2 linked regions of the Macaca mulatta genome follow. The protein of the gene in region 2 interacts with the protein of the main gene of each other region in a pairwise test. Links are inferred from orthologs where the notes say so. Each region holds a gene or a part of one and is shown on either strand. Other genes may lie near its edges. The genes, in order: NCBP1 and RNF40.

Region 1 (4,320 bases), on a different chromosome or scaffold from region 2:
CACTGTTAAGTATTTGTTGAATAAATCATTTTTCAGATATATTACTTTCCATATGATTGCTTCTATATATAAAGTATACACGTTATAATTACATATTTTATGTAAAATATATATATGTAAATATATTATATATTCTATTATAGTATTTTATATATAGAGAGAGAGTGAGTGTCAAGCATATGAAAGTCAGGGCAGAGACTGACAACAGCTGACAACTGTCCAGAAATGCTCAGATGCACCTATTTAATTCTGACTGTAATAATTCCTAGCCTATTTTAAGATAGCCTTCTATAATCCTTAAGCTTCTAAGAGTTCTCATTTTTAAAAAAATAGATGTTTAACTAAAAGGAAAGTATCCAAAATAATCTGATTCAGATCACTATGTAGGGTAAACTCCAGCTGATTGTTATCCAAATTGTGGCAATTTACAAAAATTTCAGATTTGCTGTATTATCAAACATGAACTGTATCTGCCTCTCCCATACTAAAATACCAACCTTAAAAACTTTTGCTTAATGAAGGCCTTGTTTTACTTGTCTTATTTACTCTGAGGTTCCTGCAGCAAGACCCAAATGGACAGCGATTTGGCTGCAAGCTGGTGTTAAAATGAAGCCAACTCCAAGAAAGTTATGTAAGTCTCCCAATAACCAAAGCAAAAGTTATTTTTCTACATATTTGCATTCCAATTCTCTAGGATGCCCTACAATGACATTTCCTCTCTCTTTAGGGATTACCTATAAGTGAGAGAAAGAAAGCATAAGAACAACAAAGAAATTGGAAAGAACAAAACACTCAAGTTCTCCAACCCCCAAGTAATGACTTGAGAAGTATATTAGTTTTTGATTAGTCAATTACAAAGCATAAGAAAATTGTATTATCGGCGGGCGCAGTAGCTCACATCTGTAATCCCGGCACTTTGGGAGGCCGAGGCGGGTGGATCGCCTGAGCTCAGAAGTTCAAGACCAGCCTGGGCAACGTGGCGAAACCCCGTCTCTACAAAAAATACAGGGAAAAATAAAAATTGCTGGGCGTGGTGGCCTGCGCCTGTGGTCCCAGTTACTCAGGAGGTTGAGATGGGAGGATCACTTGAGCCTGAGAGGCAGAGGTTGCAGTAAGCCGAGATCGCGCCACTGCACTCCAGCCTAACAAGAGTGACACTCCGTCTCAAAAAAAAGGGGAGGGGATTGTATTTTCTGTGCCTTGCACACAGGTTACACAAGAAGCCTCTTGTGTTAGAAATCAAAGCATGCAGCATAGTTATTTAATTTATACCTGGGTAGTGAAGAGAGCCCCGGACTGGATTTGCTATTGCTGGTGTTTGGGAACTGACAGCTGTCTCTCCGTGTTATGCTCAATCTCTAAACCCTTAGGTGTCAGATGAGAAAGCTGGACTAGAATATCCTCTCAAACCACGCCTTCGTAAGAAATCTGGTGTTTCACTATTAAAACTAAATGCGTGCGATTCTGCCTCCACCTCAACTGCCACAACACTCAAGGAGAGACAAACGTTAATGGATAAAACTTACTCAATTTAAAATGTCTGTTACGGTTTCTTTTCTTACATTGACAGCATCTGCTAACGTTTACCGCCTCTTAAGCGCTGGCAAATGATTAAAACATCATCGTTGCTGATGTGTATTACCTCATCTAACCTTCACAAAACCCAGAAGATATAAGTATCATTACGTCTATATTACAGACTAAAGTTTAAGGAGATTACATAACCTGGAAAAGATCACCAAGTAAATGGTAGGGTCTGGCTTTGAATCTAAACCCTCTGGTTCCAAAGTCTCACCTCTTAACCACTACTCTACACTCTCTTCAAAAAACAATACACTAAAACGTTAACAGAATTACTCTAAGTTTCACTTTTTTGGTGTGTGGATTTGTGTTTTTGACCGATTGTAAGGCTTATGTATAATATAAGCATTTTTTTGTTGTTAAAACTAGAATTATTCCGTCTTTATGAAGACAACACTATGATCTCCACGAGCACAATCATCCAAATGCAGATGGGAACCCCTGTTCTAACTCTCTGAGGCCTGAAGTTAGTTTTCTAGCACTCTCTCTCACACGAGGGAAATGCGCTTACGGCCACTTCAAAATCTGCAGTAACCTGTGTCTGTTTATTAGGGACCTCTTGGGCGTGGGTAAGACAATATTCTTTCCCTGCAGCTCGAAATAAGGGAAATCAACGGATGACCACTACCGGAACAGAGTTCAGATTGCAACTCATGAGATCTCTCAGTTCTTTCCTTCAGTGAATTCTTCCGAGCCCTTCTCAGGTGCAGCTTTGAAGGTTAAAACGAGACACTGGGACCAGTGGGTCCCTAAGACGCGGCAGCACGGACACAGGTGTGCTTCCCTGCTCGGTGGTGCTAAGGACCAAATTCTGAAGCCTCCTTAGAGACCAAGGGTCTACCCATGGGGTTCACCAGGCCTCCTTTCCCGAGGATCGGCCCTTGACTCAAAGAACTGGGGCGGGAGAAAAAAAGTCGCTTTCTAGAAGCCGCCCAGTCACACCGCCACTGTATTCCCCTCTTTCCCTCCGCGGCTCCCCACACGGTCCCGGGGAGAAGAGCTTCCAGTCTCTTCCATGGACACTCAAAGATGCCGAGCCTCGGTTCCCAACCGGGAGCGGCCTCCGCGGCCGGGCTGCAGGTACTCACCGTCGTTCTCGTCGCTGTGCCGCCGCCGCGACATGCTGCCCTCCGGTGCGCCGCGGAGCCCAGAAACCAGGCGGTAAGCGCCGAGGAAACTGTCCTGCCGCTGGCCGGCGCAAGGACAGCTGCGAGGCGCGCGGATGGGCCGGCACGCAGGCGCACTCGCTCGCCACGGCTCCCGGAAGCTCAGGAGAGGCCGCCGGGTGGGCTCGGCGCTGCTAGAGCCGGCGTGAGGAAGCTCAGTGGGCTACGGGCGTCGGGCACACACGCAACCGCCCCCTCAGGCTGCCCCCGCCTGCCGGCTGCTTCTTTCTCCCGCCTTCCGCTCTGTGTCCTTCCGGGGCCACGCAGAAAGTGCCGCCGTTTCGGCCAGTCAGAGACCCCGGACCGCTGTCGTCGTACGCCTGAAGGCGGGTGGTGCCGGCGGCCGCTCTAGTCCCCGCCTCCGCTCAGGCCGGTCCTCCGGGGCTTCTCAATGGTTTTCCCGGCGGCCCTTGCGCCGACGTCCAGGAGACTTCCGGAGCCTGGTGACGTCACGAACGAGCTTTTCTACCCAAACACGCGACGGGGAACACACTGCAGGGCGGTGAGCGGTAACAATTGCTAGGTGGAAACAGTGCAGGGAAGAGAGACCTAAGAAAGGATCAGGACTGGCGGGTATGTGCTCGTCTACTCCCACTTTCTGGCTTTTGCCGCCTTGGGAAAAGTGGGCGGAGAGGTTGGGCCAAGCTCGGCATGCGGGGTGGGGCCTGGGCGGGAGGCGGTGCCGCACGTGCCTCCCCCTGGGTTGGAAAGGCCGGCCCTGACGCGAGCGTGCTGCTCCCGGCTTGCCGGCTGGCTGTCATTTTCCCTAAGTTGTTTGCTTAAGAAGGAACAAATGATTGTTTTAGTAATCAAGGGTTATTGGGTACCTGTATGCCTGTGTGTGACCGTCCCCTGCCCTGATGTCTTTATGAGTACCATACTGGCTTATCTGCTTTGTCCATGGCCATCTGAAATTTCACTCTCCCGGCCTAATTCTCTTTCAGTCTTACCCATTTCAGTAAATGACGTCATCCATCGGCTGCTTAATCCAAAAATTTAGAGAGTCTTTCTTAGCTCTTTTCCCTCACTTTTTACATAACAATGATCTGTAAACCCTGCCTGTTCTCCTTTCAACACAAATCCTGAATCAGATCGTGTTACTGCTCTGTTTAAAAGTCTCCTGTGACGGCCGGGCGGGGTAGCTAACGCCTGTAATCCCAACACTTTGGGAGGCCGACGTGGGCGGATCCGCTTGAGCCTAGGAGTTCAAGACCCATCTGGACAACGAGGCGAACACTGTCTTTACAGGGAAAAAAAAAAAAAAAAAAAAAAAAATTAGCCGGGCCTAGTGTTTGGCTCCTGTAGTCCCAGTTACTCGAGGGGAGGGTTGGGGGCGGAGGTGGGAGGATCCCTTGAGCCCAGGAGGTCGAGAATACGGTGAGCCGTGATCACACCACTGCACTCCAGCCTGGGGGACAAAGCGAGACCGTGTCTTAAAAAAAAAAAAAAGTCTCCTTCGACTTTCCATTGCACACTCCATACCATGGCCTGTGGAGTTCTACCTCTCCTCACTGTACTCCAGACCCTCTTTCTGTTCGTACAATAAGTCAAGCTTGTTCTTATTTTAGGAACT
Region 2 (3,806 bases):
GGGTCCTCACCCTTGAGCCATCTGCCCCCATGATAGGTCCGTGACCATGGACCACCCTAGCCTGGCCCCTCACCCTGCACGCACCTGAGCCCTCTTGAGGTTGAAACTCTCTTTCTCACGAGCAGCCCGGCTCTCTGCCAGGCAGGGCTGGATCTCCCGCAGCCGAGTCTGCACATGCTCCAGCTGCACCTTCAGGTCCTCGGCCAGCTGGGCGGCTTCTACAGCCTGAGTGGAGTGGAACAGGAAGGAGGCACTGGTATGAGCCTGGTGACTCAGGCATGTGGAGCCACGGCCCACCGATGCTTGTGTCCAGTGCCCCAGTGACACCTGCCCTGGAGCTACTCCTGCCTCCTGATCCCTGAGCCCTTCCCTCCTGTTCTCCCTCTCAAGTTCCTCCCCTGTGTGATGCTGTCTGGTTTTTGAGGCTTCACAAGGCTCTCCTCTTTGCTCCCCTCAACTTCCCCAACACACGCACAGCTCCCCGGGCCTCAGCTCAAGAGTCACCTCCTGAGAGGCTCCCCTTTTTTCTTTGACAGCACCTCAGATTCCTGCATAAGGCATACTGTGACCTGCACTATTTTATTTGGGGGATTACTGGCCTGCTCTGCCTGCCAAGACCTGAAGTTACAGCTTTGACTGGAAGGCAGGGACCTTCTAGTTCCCACCGTCTCCACAGCAATCAGCACAAGGCCTAGTACATAGCAGGGGTGTAAAATATACTGCTTAAATGGGCTGGGCGCAGAGGCTCACGCTTGTAATCCCAACACTTTGGGAGGCCGAGGCGGGCAAATCATGGGGTCAGGAGTTTGAGACCAGCCTGGCCAACACAGTGAAACCCTGTCTCTACTAAAAATACAAAAATTAGCTGGGTGTGGTAGTAGGTGCCTGTAGTCCCAGCTACTTAGGACACTAAGGCAGAAGAATTGCTTGAACCTGGGAGGCAGAGGCTGCAGTGAGCTGAGACCAAGCCACTGTACTCCAGTCTGGGCAATAGAGCTAGACTCCGTCTAAAAAAATAAACCAAAAAAAAAAAAAACCACAAACACACTGCTTAAATGAATGAACTAACTGGAGAAGAAAACAGCTTCAGAGGAAATGGAAATCAATGTTAATGTTAAGCTTTTAGCCAAAGCTAGACATTTCTTATATTTAACACAACTATGTGAGAGGGCACATCATCCCCAGTTTACAGTTCACCAGTGAGTGGTTAGAAGGTAGAGCCTGGAGTCAAGGAGGCTTGGACCCACATACCAGGGCCACTCCCTCTTGAGCATATCAGTCCACCTCCCTGAGCCTCAGTTTCCTTATTTATAAAATGAGGTTAAAAACAAAATTCGGCCAGGCGTGGGGGCTCACGCTGTAACCCCAGCACTTTGGGAGGCCAAGGTGGGCGGATCACAAGGTCAGGAGTTTGAGACCAGCCTGGCCAACATGGTGAAACCCCATCTCTACTAAAAAAAATACAAAAATTAGCCGGGCATGGTGGTGCGCACCTGTAATCCCAGCTACTTGGAAGGCTGAGGTGGGAGAATTGCTTGAACCTGGGAGGTGGAGGTTGCAGAGCCAAGATCACAACACTGCACTCCAGCCTGGGCGACAGAACAAGACTCCATCTCAAAAAAAAAAAAAAAAAAAAAAAATTTCCACCTTTTATTTTTTTCCTAGGGACAGAGTCTCATCCTTGTCACCCAGACTGCAGTGCAGTGGTGTGATCATAGCTCACTGCAGCCTCAACCTCCAAGTGATCCTCTCACCTGTCAGCCTGTCACTTGAGAAGCTGGGACTACAGGCACATACCACCACAATCAGCTAATTTTAAAATTTTTTTGTAGAGATGGGAGTCTCACTATGTTGCCCAGGCTGGTCTCCAACTCCTGGCCTCAAGCAAACCTCCCGCCTCTGTTTCCCAAAGTGTTGGGATTACAGGCGTGAGCCCCCAAACCCGTAAACACCATCTTGATAGGATTAATGAGACTGAAATGTGACCAAGCATGTCAAGCACTCAGCATGTGGCCTGGCGCATGTAAATGTTCAGGATGTGTGAGCTGTTCTGTGACAGCCTGGCTTCATCTTAGGCTATCGCGTTGGGTGCTCTGAGCAGAACCGGAAGGTGAGGAGGTGAGCCAGCAGCCCAAGTTGTGTGTCCCCCTGGCCCAGCCTCACCTTCCGCTTGTTGAGCTCCAGGGCTTGGCTGCGCAGCGTCAGCTCCTTCTCCACACCCCCAAGGCTGCCCTGCAAGGCCCGCTCCTTCTCCTCCAGCTTCTGCACAGTCAGCAGCTGGGCATCCACCTAAGGACCAGAGGAGGACTCAGGGGCATGACCCCCGCCTCTCCAGCTCCACCCTATAAGCTGGGGGCGGCCATACCTGGGACTTGAGGCCAAGGACCTGCTCGCCCAACTCATCCTTCTCCTCCCGCAGCAGCTTGTGAATCTGATTGGCCTTGATCCGCTCTGACATCAGCTTAAAGTTGGCATCGTCCTTTTCCCGCAACTGCTGTAGCAGCCGCCCATTCTGTTCCTGCATGTCCTCAAAAGCCTGACCTGTCACATCCATCTCTGAGAGCAGAGCCTCCTCCTCCTGCAGCAAGTGGGAGGAGACAAGATGGAACATGGGAAGTGGACAGGATGGCTATGGGGGAACCATGGGAAAACGCAGCAAAGCAAAGAACCACAGAGGGGACCCAGATCATCAAGGTGCTGCAGGCACTACAGGCACCCAACAGGGTTTGAAGGGATCTCTCTGCATTCGGAGGCGAGGGCAACACAGGGGCCGCACCTGCTTGGTGGCACCCAGCTTGCGCTGCAGGTGTTCTATCTGCTCCTCTGCCTGCCGAATGCGCCGCAGGGCATCCTCATCCGCGATCTTCTTGCTCTCCCTTCGATCCCTCTCCTCCAATTCCCGGATGCGGCTCCGCAGCTCATCAACCTACAGCACAGGGAAAAAGGAACTCTCTTGACACTGCTTCCTGCTGACCTAGGACTCTGTTCTGCCTTTCTGCATGTCCCACAAGCCCCAGCTGCCCTCACCTCGGCCTTGGCCTTGCGTTCTGCTGCCATGAGCTGCACCTTATCCCGCTGTTCCTTAGGTGCTGACTTGTACATATCCAGCAGCAGTTTCATCTCCTTCTGGCTCTCCTGGGCCTTCCTGGCAAGGAGGTACAGGAGGAAGTCTTGGTGAGTGGGACTGGAGGCCACCTGGCAGGGTCAGGAAGGAGACAGGAATACAGTCTCACTTGAGCTCTGCTCGGAGACCCTTGAGGAGTTCTGATTCCTTCCTCTTGGCTTCTTCCACCTTGGCCTTCTCCCGATCGGCCCTTGAGAGAGCGGAGGCTACAGGTGGAGGACCCAAGCCAGGACCTTCTCGTTCCCGAAGCTCCCGCTTGGGCCTGGCCTCGGGTTCTCGGCCCCGGGAGGAAGGGCCCTGGGCCCCAAGGGTTAAGCCCTGGACATCCTCTTCAGAGGGGACCAGCTCCTCCTTCTTCACTGAAGTGGTAGTAGTGGTGGTGCCAGGCACTGGAGCCATTTCCTTTCTGTTGTCGGGGGTACTGACAGGGCCTGGCCCACCCTCCTCTTTCCCTGGGGCTGGGGCACTGAGGCCAGAGTCCTCTGGGTGGCCCAGGTTGGGGGTGGAGTGGGTAGAGCCACTGGTCTGGGCCCGGAGCTGCAAAGGCAGAGAGGAAGAAGGATGAAGTCAGATGTTGTTCATTGGAGTCTAGCCAAAGCTTTTCCCAGGCAGGCCCCTTCTTACCTTGCCAATCTCAGCTTGTACTTCTCGAAGCTTCCGCTTGTATCGCTGGGCGTCCCCT

What was found.
Region 1: the proteins of RNF40 (region 2) and NCBP1 interact in binary tests that used the Homo sapiens proteins (3 or more experiments, as listed by UniProt). The two-hybrid records come from large-scale screens. The link is inferred for Macaca mulatta from reciprocal best matches to the Homo sapiens genes RNF40 and NCBP1.

The regions. Positions count from the first base shown.
Region 1 is NC_133420.1:60,765,948-60,770,267, forward strand, and holds the start of NCBP1 (nuclear cap-binding protein subunit 1), read right to left. Parts: upstream 2,951-4,320; 5' UTR 2,704-2,950; coding exon 2,670-2,703; intron 1-2,669. UniProt on the Homo sapiens protein: Component of the cap-binding complex (CBC), which binds cotranscriptionally to the 5'-cap of pre-mRNAs and is involved in various processes such as pre-mRNA splicing, translation regulation, nonsense-mediated mRNA decay, RNA-mediated gene silencing (RNAi) by microRNAs (miRNAs) and mRNA export.
Region 2 is NC_133425.1:29,393,199-29,397,004, reverse strand, and holds part of RNF40 (E3 ubiquitin-protein ligase BRE1B), read right to left. Parts: coding exon 3,749-3,806; intron 3,662-3,748; coding exon 3,234-3,661; intron 3,146-3,233; coding exon 3,028-3,145; intron 2,927-3,027; coding exon 2,777-2,926; intron 2,579-2,776; coding exon 2,366-2,578; intron 2,290-2,365; coding exon 2,164-2,289; intron 226-2,163; coding exon 85-225; coding exon of another isoform or gene 70-84; exon of another isoform or gene 56-69; intron 1-55.